Callithrix jacchus: one gene and its partner. The protein of the gene in region 2 purifies or fractionates together with the protein of the main gene of each other region. This does not show direct contact. Links are inferred from orthologs where the notes say so. Each region holds a gene or a part of one and is shown on either strand. Other genes may lie near its edges.

What was found.
Region 1: the proteins of MED13 (region 2) and MED9 purify together in Homo sapiens (affinity purification with mass spectrometry; 6 studies listed by BioGRID and IntAct, with this or other methods). This does not show direct contact. The link is inferred for Callithrix jacchus from reciprocal best matches to the Homo sapiens genes MED13 and MED9.

The regions. Positions count from the first base shown.
Region 1 is NC_133506.1:69,655,074-69,662,320, reverse strand, and holds the end of MED9 (mediator of RNA polymerase II transcription subunit 9), read left to right. Parts: intron 1-3,187; coding exon 3,188-3,404; 3' UTR 3,405-5,046; downstream 5,047-7,247. Other genes in the region: RASD1 (dexamethasone-induced Ras-related protein 1), read right to left, coding at 6,898-7,247.
Region 2 is NC_133506.1:94,819,068-94,827,544, forward strand, and holds part of MED13 (mediator of RNA polymerase II transcription subunit 13), read left to right. Parts: intron 1-939; coding exon 940-1,061; intron 1,062-3,044; coding exon 3,045-3,135; intron 3,136-3,273; coding exon 3,274-3,488; intron 3,489-3,767; coding exon 3,768-3,964; intron 3,965-5,012; coding exon 5,013-5,929; intron 5,930-8,477. UniProt on the Homo sapiens protein: Component of the Mediator complex, a coactivator involved in the regulated transcription of nearly all RNA polymerase II-dependent genes.

The DNA.
Region 1 (7,247 bases), about 25 Mb from region 2:
ATGAGGATCATGTATGGTCGCATTCCTGTCAAAACAAGAAAAGTCAGTGTGTATTTGTATGCTATTATATGTTTCAAAGCCATCTGAAACTGGACACCACATGTTAACACAGGCTATCTCTTCAAGAGATTTCCCTTTCTAAGCCTCTGGTGTCTCATTTTTGAATTTTTTTCCCTCAAGTACCTACTACTGTCATTTTGTAAAAAGTGATCTTAGAAAAATGAAAGGAACTGCAGTTAGCATGGTGGGAGGAGAGTCTGCGGGCAGAGGAGTGGACTGGTAAGGGCTGGTCTGAGGGCGAGGCAGCTAGGACATAGTGGGGCGGGAGGCATGGTGCAGGGAAGCTGTGAGGAAGAAGAAATGGGAAACTGAGTCAGATGTCACCAAGAAGTCAAAAGAAGTTGCTGTCAGGTTTGGGAGGAAGTCTGTGGCGGTGGTTCCAGCACAGTTACTGGCCAGTTTGCATCTGTACTAAAGCATCCATACTAAAAACAAGAACAACGAAGAAAATCGGGGTGTAATTCTCAGATACACTCGCCTAAACCCTGCAATGTTTGCCCCTGAGTCCGGTGACACAGATATAAATGTCTGTCATCCATGGGAAGGATGCTTGGAAGATCACCCCTAGTGAGAGTATTTTTGTCCACTCTAAAAAAGCCATAGTAGGTGGGACCAGAGTGCCCTGTTTGTGTGATGTTCATCCTCCTCGACCTAGTGGCTTTTTTCATTCCTTCTATAGTTGGCCGATGACTAACCTTGAACACAAAGGCAGGCCCACTTAGAGCTTTCTGCTTTTATTCACTCAGTATTTGGGCCTGTCCCTTTTCTTTTGGCTTGAATATTTCAGTCATCCTGGCTTAGCTGATGCCCACTTCTGAATAGCGTGTTTTCCTCACACCAGGAGTTCTGTGCTGCTTACCTCCACCAGCTAGGGCAGCTGGGCTTGCAGAGGGCCCTCCCTGTGGCCCGCACAGCCCCTTTTGGCTCCGCTCCCTCCAGGTGGCTTGTCTTGTCTTATGGCCTCTTTTTTATTATCTGAAGACTGTCTCCTTTCCGACACTTCACCAAAGAACAGGCAGCCCCTGCAACTTGGGGGTTTTCAGAGATGAGCATCTTAAATATGACTCACTTTCAACTTTCAGAACTAAATTTTCTTTTGGGCCAGGTTATGTTTGCTTCAAGAATGGAATTATCTGTCATCCAAATTTCTATTTTGTGTACTTTTTTGTTTGTTTTACCATGTCCTTTCAGGCTCGTGTGATGTGAATCGGTTTTTTTAAAACCATATTTTAATTTTGAAACTCCCTTGGGATTTAAACTCATAACAGTATGTTAACACACATGCCATCCAAGTAGAATGATTTCAGAAATCCAGATGGTTTCTGTCCACGTTTGTGGATCAGAGCAGAGACTCCAAAGAATTGAAATAAAAGAAGTTCCCTGTTTGCTTCCTTCCAAACAATTTTTACTTGTCGTGTGACTACCAGTTCGTCCTCCCTAGAATCTGAGATAACGTATACTGTAATGGCGTCTCTCAGTTGAGGGCATCAAATGACAAATGTTTGGCTGGCCTCTCATTTCCTGGAAGAAGTGATTGATTCTCCAAACCCCCCACCCTGAGTTTGGAGCTGTTGGTAAATACTGAGCCGGCCATGGTGGCCATCTTATTGCAAGGTGTGAGACGTAACTGATGGATCGCCAAGAAAGATGGATATTCTGGAGAAATGATGAATAGTTAACATGAATTAGCACCATCTGGATTGAAATTTTCCACTACAGATGAACATTTATTTAAAAAAATTAATGATCATTGACAGTTTTTTCCTATTACGCCTCAATGACTTACTTTTAGAACAGCTTACTGAGTTGCCTTTTAGTTTTGGTCTCAACCACGTAACTTTTTTTTTGAGACAAAGTCTTACTCTGTCACTAGGCTGGAGTACAGCGGTGGTGTGGTCTCGGCTCACTGCAACCTCTGACGCCCTGGTTCAAGCAATTCTACCTCAGCCTCCCGAGTAGCTGGGGCATGCGCCACCGTGCCCAGCTAATTTTTATATTTTTAGTAGAGACAGGGTTTCACCATGTTGGCCCAGATAGTCTTGATCTTCTGACCTCAGGTGATCTGCCTGCCTTGGTCTCCCAAAGTGCTGGGATTACAGGTATGAGCCACTGCGCCCGGTCCACTTAACTAACTTTTTTAAAATGTATAGGATGGCTCACGCCTGTAATCCCAACACTTTGGGAGGCCAAGGTGGGTGGATCACAAGGTCAAGAGATCGAGACCATCCTGGTCAACATGGTGGAACCCCGTCTCTACTAAAAATACAAAAAATTAGCTGGGCATGGTGGCACACGCCTGTAATTCCATCTACTCAGGAGGCTGAGGCAGGAGAATTGCCTGAACCCAGGAGGCGGAGGTTGCAGTGAGCCAAGATCGTGCCATTGCACTCCAGCCTGGGTAACAAGAGCGAAACTCCGTCTCAAAAAAACAAACAAAAAAAAAGTATAGGAGCAACTTTCAGGCTGTTTCTTTCATCTCAGGTGAGGTTATTCTTGCCTCGTTTTTCACTGAGTGGGAGCTCTGTGCAGCTAATAGTAGCTGTGAGATGGAGCGAATGATCTGCTTTGAAAGTGAACTTGACTCAAAGGGTAAGGAGTGTACATGACCATAGTAGAAGAGAGCCTATGTCTGCTGAAACATTTAAATTAACTAAACTTTAAAATTTATGAACAGCTCTGTGGATATTAGTCTTTATGTTAACCAGTTCAAGCCAGTATCAAAACCTCCACTAAAGTTAGCTCTTGCTAGCTGGTAGAGCCTCCTGACTGGTCTGGAAATGTCTCCAATTAGACGAAATGTCGTATTTCAGTAAGTTGTGTTTGGCATTTGTCACCTGCTGTTGGTATTGGTTTGTTCATTGAATACATGTTCTGTGAGCTTATTTGCCAAGCATTCATTCTTTCCATGGATATTTCTTGAGTGCCTGCAGTGCCCTGTACACTGGGCCAGGGGTAGGGAGACATCTGTGACCAGGCAGACATGGTCCTTGACCTCACAGAGTAACAGTTGACAAAGTGTTCTAAAAGCTGTTGCAGGAATGACAGCCAGCTCTGGGGGGTGCAGGGCAGGAAAGCCACGATGAGTATCAAGCTGCGAATGCTCATGGCTCTTACTCTGCCCCCGCAGCATGGACAAGGACAGCCCCGAGGTCCACCAGGACCTGAACACCCTCAAAACCAAGTTCCAGGAGATGCGCAAGCTCATCAGCACCATGCCCGGCATCCACCTGAGCCCTGAACAGCAGCAGCAGCAGCTGCACAGCCTCCGGGATCAAGTCAGGACCAAGAACGAGCTTCTGCAAAAGTACAAGAGCCTCTGCATGTTCGAAATCCCCAAGGAGTAGAGCGAGGCCGACTTCCAGGAGCACCTGAGAAAGAGGGAAGCAAATGGCCTGTCACCCCACAGCCACTACCCCCCCGGCCGAACGCTTGTTGGGGCACAGTTCCTGTGGAACCCAGCTCAGAACTTCAAGCTGCAGGGGCGGGGTTCCTGTGCGGGAGCCAGCGCCGAGAGCTTGGCTGTGCTGGGGCTTCCTTGTGTAGATCCATATGTCTAGATGCATAATAACTGGAGTGCCTGCTGGTGGAAGTCAGAATGCTCCTGGAGGCTGCGGAGGGGGTGGAGGACTCTCCCTTGCCTCTGGGGAGGGGGCCATCTGCTTCGCATCCAGCCCCACTGACAGATCTGAAGAACACAGTAAGAAGGGAGGCGGTTCCTCTCTGCTTCCTTCCCTCCCCCTCCTCCCACCCCCATAGGATCAGTGTGTACCAGGTACATATTGTTCCTGTTAGCAGCAGCTTCTTGAAACACTTGCATAGAATCCACTGGACAAATTAAGCCTGCGCTCATATGGCATAGAGCTGTGAGAGAATGTTTTGAAAGGCCACAGGGTGGCTTTTTTCCCAGTTTGGTTCCTTTTCTGTTTGAGCGGTGAAGGAACTATAGCTGTGGGGGTGTCGGCCCACACCCCTGCCAGGCAGCCCCTGGCTGCAGCTTCCCTGCTTCCTAGCACTCTCCTCTCCTTCAGCGCTTGCTCTCTTCCTTGCTCGGCACCTTCAGTCAGTGCCCAGGGCTGGCAAGGGGCCGTCCTTTCCACTCAGGCTGGAAGAGGTCTTCAGGCGGACAGACCTGTCTTCTGTCATTTCAGATTCCCATTGCCGTGGTGAAAAGGTCTTTCCCTTCTGTTCTCACTTGTGGCAGCGATGTGTACTATGCTGCAGAGGGGTTCATGATGCACCTTGTGTTCAGAGAGGGGCAGTTCGGGTGGTCCTCAGCCATGAGCTAGGCCTGACAGTGACACAGCCAAGTTTGAGCTCTTAAAGGTTTATAGCAGCCCTCATTTCCCCAGCATCCCTGATTTCTTCCGGATGGGACATTTTCTTTGTTTGCTCTCCCTTGACTGTCAAATTGAGGTAGGAGTAGTTCTCACCCTTGCTTCTCCAAGAGGGGGTGCCAAGTCCTGGAGTGTTGTTTGGGTCTAGGAATGAGCACACAACCTGCGCTGACCACTTCGGGGACTTAGCAGATGCCCGCCAACTGACCTCATTGGTAGGAGGACTGGGTGAAGATGTTTTTAGCAGAGCTGCCATTAGTGTCCAACTGCAGCTACCTATCAGAATGTGGGTGGTATATTGGGGACCTGGGGATGTGTGAAGGAGGAGACCAGATTTCAGTGGCTTTGCACAAAAAAGTAGGCTCGGAATTCAAGTGGGTGGTCACCTGTTAGACCAGTTCTACCTTGGAACTGTTATTTAACTGAATCAGTTATTTCCTTGAAATTTCACAGTTGCGGGTCGGCCACTTTTAAGGCTCTGACAGATACCATGAAACATGAAGCACATGGAAATCTAAGACCCTTGGGGTCTGAATGCAAGGCTGAAATGAACAAGGGCTCCTCACGCGGGTGGAGGGAGCTGGAGCCTACCTTGTGTTCCTGTTTTGACTTGTGACATTCAAACGCATAATTAAAAGGACTTGTACTCTGCTGTTTCTGGACATCATGCTTTCTGTACTGAGAAATTCATAGTGGGATGCTCTCAGATCATTTAGAGGAAAATGTTTCTCTTACTCTGTTCAGACACAGAACCAACCCTCTGTTCCTCAACTCCCTCCACTCACCTGCTGAACCAGTGTGGAACAGGAACTCCTCTCCCGGCTGGCCTCAAGGGGAGTTTGCCTGGCAGGTCATCCCTGCCCCTGCCTGGCACGGGCCCCTGGGCATCCGTGGTTGCCTTTGATGGAGTGGCAGGGTGGGAGTGGGGGTCCAGTGCCTTTTGGTGACTGGAGGTTTAGTCCTGCCAGAACTGCCCTCCCTGAGCAGGGTTGAAATCCTTCTAGGACAATTGTTGAGTGTTCCTCACAGGGCTGAGCACCCTCTCAAAGCCACTAATTATTTGGATTACTGGGTGGCATGCATTTGTGCTAAGTACTTTTCAGATACCACACTTAATCCTCACAGCAAGCCCATGCAGAGGGTGCTCTGCCCCAGGTTTGCAGTACTAGTGACAGAGGTGTTCCTGGGTGCCTTAGGCATGAGAGGGAGATAGCAAGGCTGAGGGGTGCATGGGGCTCCACTCCTGGGCTTGAGCACTGCCTGGAGCTAGAAGGGAGCAGACGCCCAAGGGTTAGCTGTTTCCTGCCAGGGTGGCACCCTGGAGGGAGGGGGTGGGAGTGGGCACCTGGATGGACCTGCTTCCAGATGGGTCTCAGGGTCTTTCCTCAGGGCCTGAGTGATACCTCCCAGTCTGAGAGTTCGCCTGGGCCCACACTGAGTCTGGTGACAAAATGGCTAGGCACAGTTCCAGTGGCCCTTGGGCTAAGGAGAATTCAGAACGTTTTCTTAGAAAATGAGGCCTTTTGTCATCAAACACAAAGAAAATTAAGCGGGTAGGTGGCTAGAAAGAGTTCATCTCCAGGAGGGACCCTGAAATCCTTTACCTTCGTCCTGGTTTTGTAGGGAACCATCCCCTGCATAGATGCCCCAGGCACCTAGGGCCTTTCTGGCCGCCAAAGCTGCTTTCAGAAGGGCAGGGTATTTTCCAGTTCCGAGGAAGGTTAAGTTCTAGTTCCACACAAGTCAAAGCCCAGCCCCTTCCCTCTCCCTACCCTTCCCGCCTCCAGCCATCTCTAAAAGCAAAGAAAAACCGGTTTTCCATTTTAAATTATTTTATTGTATATTTAAAAACCAACAGTAATAAAGACCTCACTCGCACACACGCAGTACAAATACCAGGGTGAGGTTTTGTTGGTGTCCGTGTTGACACCGGAACTACTGTTAAAGTGCAAGTTTGGTTTTGTGTTCCTTTGTGCAGTTTCACTCACATGTAAACAAGTCACTTGGCTATGATTTGACCCAGCCCCCCTTAGTTTTGGGAGGGCACAGGTTCTGCCGGCTGTCATGGCAACCCGGAATCACAGACAAGATAATGCCCCGTGGGTCCTGACCCTCAAGCCGGGCAGGACGGTTTCTTGAAGCCTAACAGGCTGGATAACTTCACATCACCCCCACCCCGCACTCACTCTTAGGTCTTTGAGAAGACAATGCCACTCTCGGCAGGGCCCTTGCCCCCCACCCCGCCAAGTTGTGGGGATGGGATGGGGTGAGGGTGGGAGTAGTCTCAGTCTTGGCCAGTTCTCTTTCCTTCCAGAGCAGATGACTGTCCCTTCTTGGTTCAGTGGCGCCTCCCCAGCGCTGGGGGCGGATCGCGGGGAGGGAAGACGCTAGTCCAGTCCGCGCGCTCGCGGCCCCGGGGCGCACGGGGCGTGCCGGGCCGTTGGATTTGACTTAAACAAAAAGGTCCTCCTTATGTCGTGTGGCTGCCGGCGCGGTGGGGCTCCTAGCTGATGACGCAGCGCTCCTTGTCCTTCGCCTGGCTGCCGGCGCTGGCCTTTTCTCGGATGTACATGAGGTCGCTGTGCACGCTTGGCCGGCGCGCGAAGGGTGCCACGATGCCGAAGGCGTCGCCCGGGTCGCCGCCGCCGGCCCGCAGCAGCCTCTTGTTCCGCAGCGCCTTCTTGTGCAGCACGTCGCAGTACTGCACGGAGACCTTGCGGTGCAGGTCCGGACTCATCTCGCTTGGCAGCTTGGCCATGGCGAAGAGTGCACGGAACATCTGGTCCAGGCTGCTGTTCTTCTTGGCTGAGATCTCGAAGTAGGCGCAGCGCTGGGGGTCGTCGCCCACCAGCT
Region 2 (8,477 bases):
AGGAATATATTGGGAGTTTAATTTTCATTGGAATTGGGATTATGTATTTGTTCCCCTAAAATGGGGCGGGAGGGAAGGAAAATAAAATTGTAGTACAGTAACTAAGAGGTAATATTTATCTAGTACTTAAGCACCTAGCAATGGGCAAAGCATATTAACCTATATTCTATTACATTTAATTCAGTTCTTGGTATTGAGGCACAGAGAGGTTAAGTAAGTTGTCGAGGGTCATACTGTTAGTAGTGGAGCTGGGATTCAAATTAAAGTCTGGCCCAAGAGTTACCTCTTAATCATTGTTCTGTTCTTCCTTTACATTTCAGAAAGAGAAAAATACAGGCTGGGTGAGGTGGCTCACACCTGTAATCCCAGCACTTTGGGAAGCAGAGGCAGGCAGATTGCTTGAGCCCAGGAGCTCAAGACCCGTTTGGGCAACATGGCAGAACCCCAACTCGAGAAAAAAAAATTAACTGGTTATGGTGTCTCATGCCTAGTCTCATCTACTGGGGAGTCTGAGATGGGAGGATTGCTTGAGCCCGAGAGGTCAAGGCTGCGGTGAGGTGTGATTGTGCCACTGCATTCCAGCCTGGTGGTAACAGAGTGAGACACCATCTCAAAAAAAACTACAAATATGTGTGTGTATTTAATTCACTTTTCCTAAATAGAATTTATATTTTTATTTAATATATTAATTATTCATGTAGAGTACTTAGCTATTTTATGGATTACTTGACCTTCTAGTGAGCTTCCTGGAAAAGGTATAAACCCCTTATACCTTTATAACATTTTTTCTATTAAAAACACTTTCTAGATTTTAAATAATAAATTACAGTTTCTTGTTGCATAGTACCCTATGAACTTAAAGTTACATGTCTAATTTAAACAGAATAATACTTATTTGATCAGTAGTAGCAGTTTTATTTTTCTGATTGACTTTTGTAGATGCTCCACGCCCTACTAGTCATGCCCGTCCTCCATCAACAAGTTTGATTTATGACTCAGACCTGGCTGTCTCTTATACTGATCTTGATAATCTCTTCAATTCTGATGAAGATGAACTAACAGTGAGTATCTCATTAATAAATAGGAATATATTGATTTTATGTACATATTTTTTATTCTTTAGAAGTGATTTATGAGTTTAATACTATGATTTAGCCCTGAACAATGAGAAATATTTCATAGTAAAGTCTCATTGGTTTCTTTTTTAATCTCATGTTTGAGTAGTCTTGCCATAGTGTCACCTATAAACTTTGAGATTTTTGTTTCTCCTTTTGTTTTTACATTTGGGAAACACATGATTAACCTTAATTTGAGCTCTGCTGTATGTTCTATTTTGCAGTTTTAGGAAGCAGAATTATTTTCCTATTTGATTCTGTAGTTTGAGAAATGACCCTGGAATTTACTCATTCAGAGAACACATAAATAATTGACATTAAAGTTATTTGCTTTGTCAATTTATTAAGGAATACCAGTTCTTTTGAATTTGTTTGACATCACAGCTATTATTATAAGACAGATACATGATATAGCAATGAAAGAGGAAGAAAAAGTAATATTTGATCTTTAACACCCATTTGCAGAGAAAGGTGAAGATAAAAGAAATTAAAGCTTAAAATGAGATTCCCTAGAATGTCAAGTCTCTGGCAAATTAATGAATTGGGTGCTGCATTATCATAAAAGGGAATTCCTTTTCATCTGCATAAAGGTAGCTTGGAAACTTCTATGGTACATTTGGTCTTTCTTTTCCTATATAATATGCATTTATTCCTCTCAGCATATATATCTATATATGTATATGTATGTATATGTGTGTGTATATGTGTATATGTACACATATACACACACATATACATACATATACATATATATATATCAGATACATAAACTTTTACTATATATCCCATAGTGTAGTACATTTTAGAACACCCTTCACTAGGCAAATATATCCTTGAATGTTTTGACACATTCATACTATCTACTACCATTCATGTATCAGCTGTGGTTCCTCTAAGATAAAAAGGTTGTAGTCAGAATGTGGTCTGCATAGTAATATTTATCACAAACTGTCTAACAGAAGACATGGAACAAATGTTAGCTCTGAAAACATTGGTAATAGCTTGGAAATAGTAAAGCTTGTTTGTTCAATGTACTAAAAGTTAGGAAAACTATTGCTTTGTCATTAGATCTTCTGAAGTTTGTACTTAGTTTTACCTGTTACAGTATTTTTATAGGAGTAAGGAGATTATTAAAACAAGGTAAAAGTATAAATAAGAGTTCAGAGAAGTGGGTGATTGAATATATAGGAAAAACACAAACCTTAATGTATTCAACTTAAGGAGACAAATGCTTTGCAAGTATCTTTTACTAAGAAGCATTTCTAATGTTAATTACAACTCCTTCTTATTGCAGGTTTTCTTATTTTTATTTATTTTATTTTATTTTGAGACAAGAGTCTCACTCTGTTGCCCATGCTGAAGTGCAGTGGTGCAATCTTGGCTCACTGCAACCTCTGCCTTTCAGGCTCAAGCAATTCTTGCGCCTCAGCCTCCTGAGTAGCTGGAATTATAGACATGCCCCTACACGCCCAGCTGATTTTTTGTATTTTTAGTACAGATGAGGTTTCACCATGTTGGCCAGGCTGGTCTCAAACTCCTGGCCTCAAACTGATCTGCCTGCCTCTGCCTCCCGAAGTGCAGGGATTTTAGGCGTGAGCTACCACGTCCAGCCTCTTTATTTTGGGTTTTAATTTAAGATTAACCTTATTTGTGTGTATTTTGAAAGTATTGGTCATTTTCTTTCGAGGAACTTTTCCCTTTTAATTTGGTGGCTTACCAAATAAGTATTCAGAGAAACTAATCTGGAGTCAATGATTGTCTAAGAAATACTTTGTATCTTTCAACACTAGTATGTATTTGGCTGTATCAAATTCAAAATATTACTTTTAATGAACTGGCTTTACTTTTAAGTTATTTCTGAATGATTAGTATTTTGAGATCACATTGGGTGTAAAATTTTAGTTAAGTATGTGCTTTTTTTTTAAATAGCCTGGATCTAAAAAATCAGCGAATGGATCAGATGATAAAGCCAGCTGCAAGGAATCAAAGACAGGAAATCTGGACCCGTTATCTTGCATAAGTAAGTGTCCCACATCTGTGCTTGAGATAAATTTGCAAACTTTTAATTTCAAAAAAGCTCCCCACTCCCTTTGTTTTAAACACAGAGTCACCTATTTTTAGTCATGCATTAAAATGTATGTTTTTATTAAAAATATAGGCACTGCAGATCTTCATAAAATGTATCCTACACCACCATCATTGGAACAACATATTATGGGATTTTCCCCAATGAATATGAATAATAAAGAATATGGTAGTATGGATACAACACCTGGAGGAACTGTTCTAGAAGGAAATAGTTCTAGTATAGGACCACAGTTCAAAATTGAGGTTGATGAGGGATTCTGTAGCCCCAAACCTTCTGAAATTAAAGTAAGTATTTTTTTTCCTAGAAGAATAATTCACTTCTTATATTTTCTTAGAATTAGTTTGTTGCTGTATTCAAAAATTCTTTGATAGTATTTGCAGTTTTGTGGCTGAGGACTGAATTATTGTGTCACAATTACGATTGCATTTATGGAAAGAATAGGATTGCATTTATATTTTATGCTGTTTATAGAAAGGAAAAAAGGTCCAGAGCTTGTTTGAGTTTTTTGTTTATTTTTTTCCCAGAAGATAAGATACTAAAAACCTACCATCTTTATATTGTAGGATTTTTCTTACGTCTATAAGCCTGAAAATTGTCAAATTCTAGTGGGATGTTCCATGTTTGCACCTCTAAAAACTCTACCAAGCCAATATCTGCCCCCTATCAAATTGCCAGAAGAGTGTATTTACCGTCAGAGTTGGACTGTTGGAAAATTGGAATTGCTTCCTTCAGGGCCTGCAATGCCATTCATCAAAGAGAGGTAGGATTTATGTTATTATAATAGTATATGAATGCTTATATAGCTTTAATTTTTTTTGTAGATTTACCTGGCATGCTGGAAAAAGAAAATTGGTTTTTGAAAATTCCAAAAATTATTTCTGATTAATCAAGTATAATGATTGGCGAGGAACAGTGGCTCATTCCTGTATTTCTAGCACTTTGGGAGGCCAAGGTGTGTGGATCCCTTGAGGTCAGGAGTTTGAGACCAGCTTGGCCAACATGTGAAACCCTGTCGCTACTAAAAATAGAAAAATTACCCAAACCTGGTGGCGTGCGCCTGTAGTTCCAGCTACTTGGGAGGCTGAGGGACAAGAATCACTTGAACCCGGGAGGTGGAGGTTGCAGTGAGCCAAGATCGCACCAGTGCACTCCAGCCTGGGCGACAAGAGTGAAACTTCATCTCAAAAAAAAAAATTACAGTGGTTAATTGGGTATAGATAAACTATTGGAAAATTTATGACTGTTCTGCTTAATTTGTATTCAGAAGCACCTTTTCTTTTGGGCTGCAATTTAAAATCACTCCCATTTTTACATTTGCCATATTTTCCATACTTTTCACATTTTACCATATCTGAATTTGTCAGTTTCAACTTGAGGCAAAAAAAAAAAAAAAAAAAAAAACAACTGAATTTGAGATGTCTTATAGTGCACCTTAAAATTGCAGTTTTTCCCTATTTACACATAAGCATCTCTAAAATCTTTTTTTTTTTATAGTCAGTAGCATCTTATAAGTATTTCTAGTAAATGAAATTTATAGATAGTAAATATAGATGTTTAGGTATGTATTAGTGTATACAGAGTTTATTAATGATTTTTGAACTTGATTGATCCTTAGCCCACACAATTACTTAGAGTAGATAGGTTAACCAGAAATGAGAATTGACTCTACTTGTAATTCTTGCAGTACTTGCCCTTTCATAATTTCCTATGTAATTGAAAAACATTTGGGACATTTTTAGTTGTATTTCACATTACTAATATGTTCCTTAATGTATGTATTTTATTTTCTTTTACCCTGGTGATGATAGTGATGGAAGTAATATGGATCAAGAATATGGCCCTGCTTATACACCTCAAACTCATACTTCTTTTGGAATGCCTCCTAGCAGTGCACCTCCTAGTAACAGTGGAGCAGGAATTCTTCCTTCTCCATCCACCCCTCGGTTTCCAACTCCAAGGACTCCAAGGACTCCTCGGACTCCTCGTGGAGCTGGTGGACCTGCCAGTGCTCAAGGTTCCGTCAAATATGAAAATTCAGACTTGTATTCACCAGCTTCCACCCCATCTACATGCAGACCCCTTAATTCTGTTGAACCTGCAACTGTCCCTTCCATCCCTGAAGCACACAGTCTTTATGTAAACCTCATCCTTTCAGAATCAGTTATGAATTTGTTTAAAGACTGTAACTTTGATAGTTGTTGCATCTGTGTCTGCAACATGAATATCAAGGGTGCCGATGTTGGAGTTTACATTCCAGATCCGACGCAGGAAGTACAATATAGGTGTACCTGCGGCTTCAGTGCTGTCATGAACAGAAAATTTGGAAACAATTCAGGATTATTTCTTGAAGATGAACTAGATATCGTAGGGCGCAATACAGATTGTGGCAAAGAAGCTGAAAAACGTTTTGAAGCTCTCAGGGCTACCTCTGCTGAACATGTTAATGGAGGACTAAAGGAATCTGAAAAATTGCCTGATGATTTGATGTTATTGCTACAAGATCAGTGCACTAATTTATTTTCACCCTTTGGAGCAGCAGACCAAGATCCTTTTCCTAAAAGTGGTGTAATTAACAATTGGGTGCGTGTTGAAGAGCGTGACTGTTGCAATGACTGCTACCTTGCATTAGAACATGGGCGTCAGTTCATGGATAACATGTCAGGAGGAAAAGTTGATGAAGCACTTGTGAAAAGTTCATGCTTACACCCCTGGTCCAAAAGAAATGGTAAGTATGCTAATAAAATACTTTCTTGTTTGCTTATTTCCCTTTAGTTGTATGACTTTGCTTTTCTTTCTTAGGAAAAAGTATTTAAGGCAATTTCCCATGTAGTAAATAAAGACATTTAAAGTTGGACTTAAAATTCTTTTAAGGATGACGTTTTTAAAGGGAGAATTTCTTAGCAGTTTTAGTTTAATTTCACCAACAAAAGTATTGTTGTTATAAATCTGTAATTATATACTTACATAGGAATATAAAAGGCACTTTGCATCTGTTTATTAGCACAACATTGCTAGTTTTCTGCTTTATTCACATTCTTCCACTCATTAAATATTTGCTGGACACCTTGTATGTGCCAGGTATTTTCCTAGGTTCACCGTTGAACAAAACACACATATTCTTTTTTTTATTTAGATACTTTATTTTTTAATATTTTTTATGCACTTAAGGTTCTGGGGTACATATGCAGAACATGCAGGATTGTTGCATAGGTACATACATGGCAGTGTGGTTTGCTGCCTCCATCCCCGTCACCTATAACTGGCATTTCTCCCCATGTTATCCCTCCCAAACTCCCTACCTCCTGCTGTCCCTCTCCTAGGACCCCCCTCAACAGACCCCAGTGTGTGATGCTCCCCTCCCTGTGTCCATGTGTTCTCATTGTTTCAACACCCTCCTATGAGTGAGAACATGTGGTGGTTGATTTTCTGTTCTTGTGTCAGTTTGCTGAGAATGGTTTCCAAATTCATCCCTGTCCCTACAAAGGACACAAACTCATCGTTTTTTATGGCTTCATCGTATTTCATGGTGTATATGTGCCACATTTTTCTTGTCCAGTCTATCATCGATGGGAATTTGGGTTGGTTCCAGATCTTTGCTATTGTAAATAGTGCCGCAATGAACATACGTGTCAAAGCACACATATTCTTTGCTCGTTTTGAACCTATAATTTAGTGGAGAAGATAGGAAATAAAAAATTGAAAATTTTCTTGAGTTATCATTATGAAAAGCTGTGGATCTGGGTGAAATAACCTAAAGAGTAATTGTAGATAGAGCAGTACAAGGATGGGGCTGGCATTTAGAGATGGGGAGGGAGAGGAGGAGCCAGGAACAGAAATTGAGAAGAATGTTGGAGGAAAACCATGGGAGTATGGTATCCTAGAAATCAAGTATAGGGAATCTTTAGAAGAGAGTGATCATCTCTATCAATACTGTGATACATTAAAGTGAAAACTGAGACAGGCTATTAGATATGACCACATAGAAGTTGTTGGTCACCTTGATAGGCAGTTTCAGTCAACCTGATTAGAGTGGGTTCACAGGAGAATGGGATAAGAAGCAAACTTAGACAATTTGGTGGGGACTTTTGCTATAAATAGCAGAGAAATTGGATAATAGGGTTAAAAGAGAGGTTTATTATTATTTTTTAATGGGTGCATTGGGAGTGATCATATAGAAAGGAATTTAATTGACAAATATGGCTTATGCCTGTAATCCCAGCATTTGGGAAGCTGAAGCAGGCAGATCATTTGAGCCCAGGAGTTGAAGACCAGCCTGGTGAACATGGCAAAACCCATCTCTACTAAAAAATACAAAAATTACCTGGGCGTGGTAGCACATGCTTGGTGTCCCAGCTACTTGGGAGGCTGAGGTGGAAGGATAGCTTGAACCTAGGAGGTGGATGATTTCGTGAACCATGATTATTATACCACTGCACTTCAAGCCGTTTGACAGACAGAGTGGGACTCTGTCTCAAAAAGAAAAAAATGGCCATGTAACGCAAGGTTGAAAGAATTAAAAATCAGCCCATCAACAGGAGAATAGTTAAAAAATCATGATAGTACAGATGGAATGTTATATGGCTTCTGAAAATGGATACTTTTGTATATAACAAATAGATGAATCTTAGTAATAGTATTGAGGAGAGGAAGAGGGAACAAATCCCAGAAGATTACATATAGTCAGATACCCTTTAATAATAACTTTAATATGTTACCTTTAATAAAGTTCAGAAACAAACACAACTAAATGTATTATTTACATGCACATAAAATTGAGGATATTGGTTAATTCTTGAAATTTCACGTGTCCAAAAATGACCACAAGATAGGATAGGAAGAAACATTTAATAAGACTGTTTTGGTAATGTTCTAGTTCTTGGACAGTGAGATTACAGTTGTTCATTTTATTATTAAAGGAAATTTTTGAACTATGAGAGCAACCTATGGACCAGTGATTAAGTTAATGTACATGACATAATTTCAGCATTTATCCAATTATTTATTCTGAGGGACCAAATTTAAAAAGGGAAAAATATAAATAAATTTCATAGGTGTTCAAAAAAAGGGAAAGATTATTTTAAGCCATATAGAGTAGTTAAAAGCATAGGCTGTGGACTCAGACTGCTTGGGTTTGAAACATGACTGTAGCACTATATACTACCTGCTACCTTGGGCCAAGTTAGTTAAACTTTCTGTGCCTCAGTTTCTTAAAATAGGGTCAATAATGGATTTATTTTACAGGGTATTACAAGAATCAAATGAAATAATACATA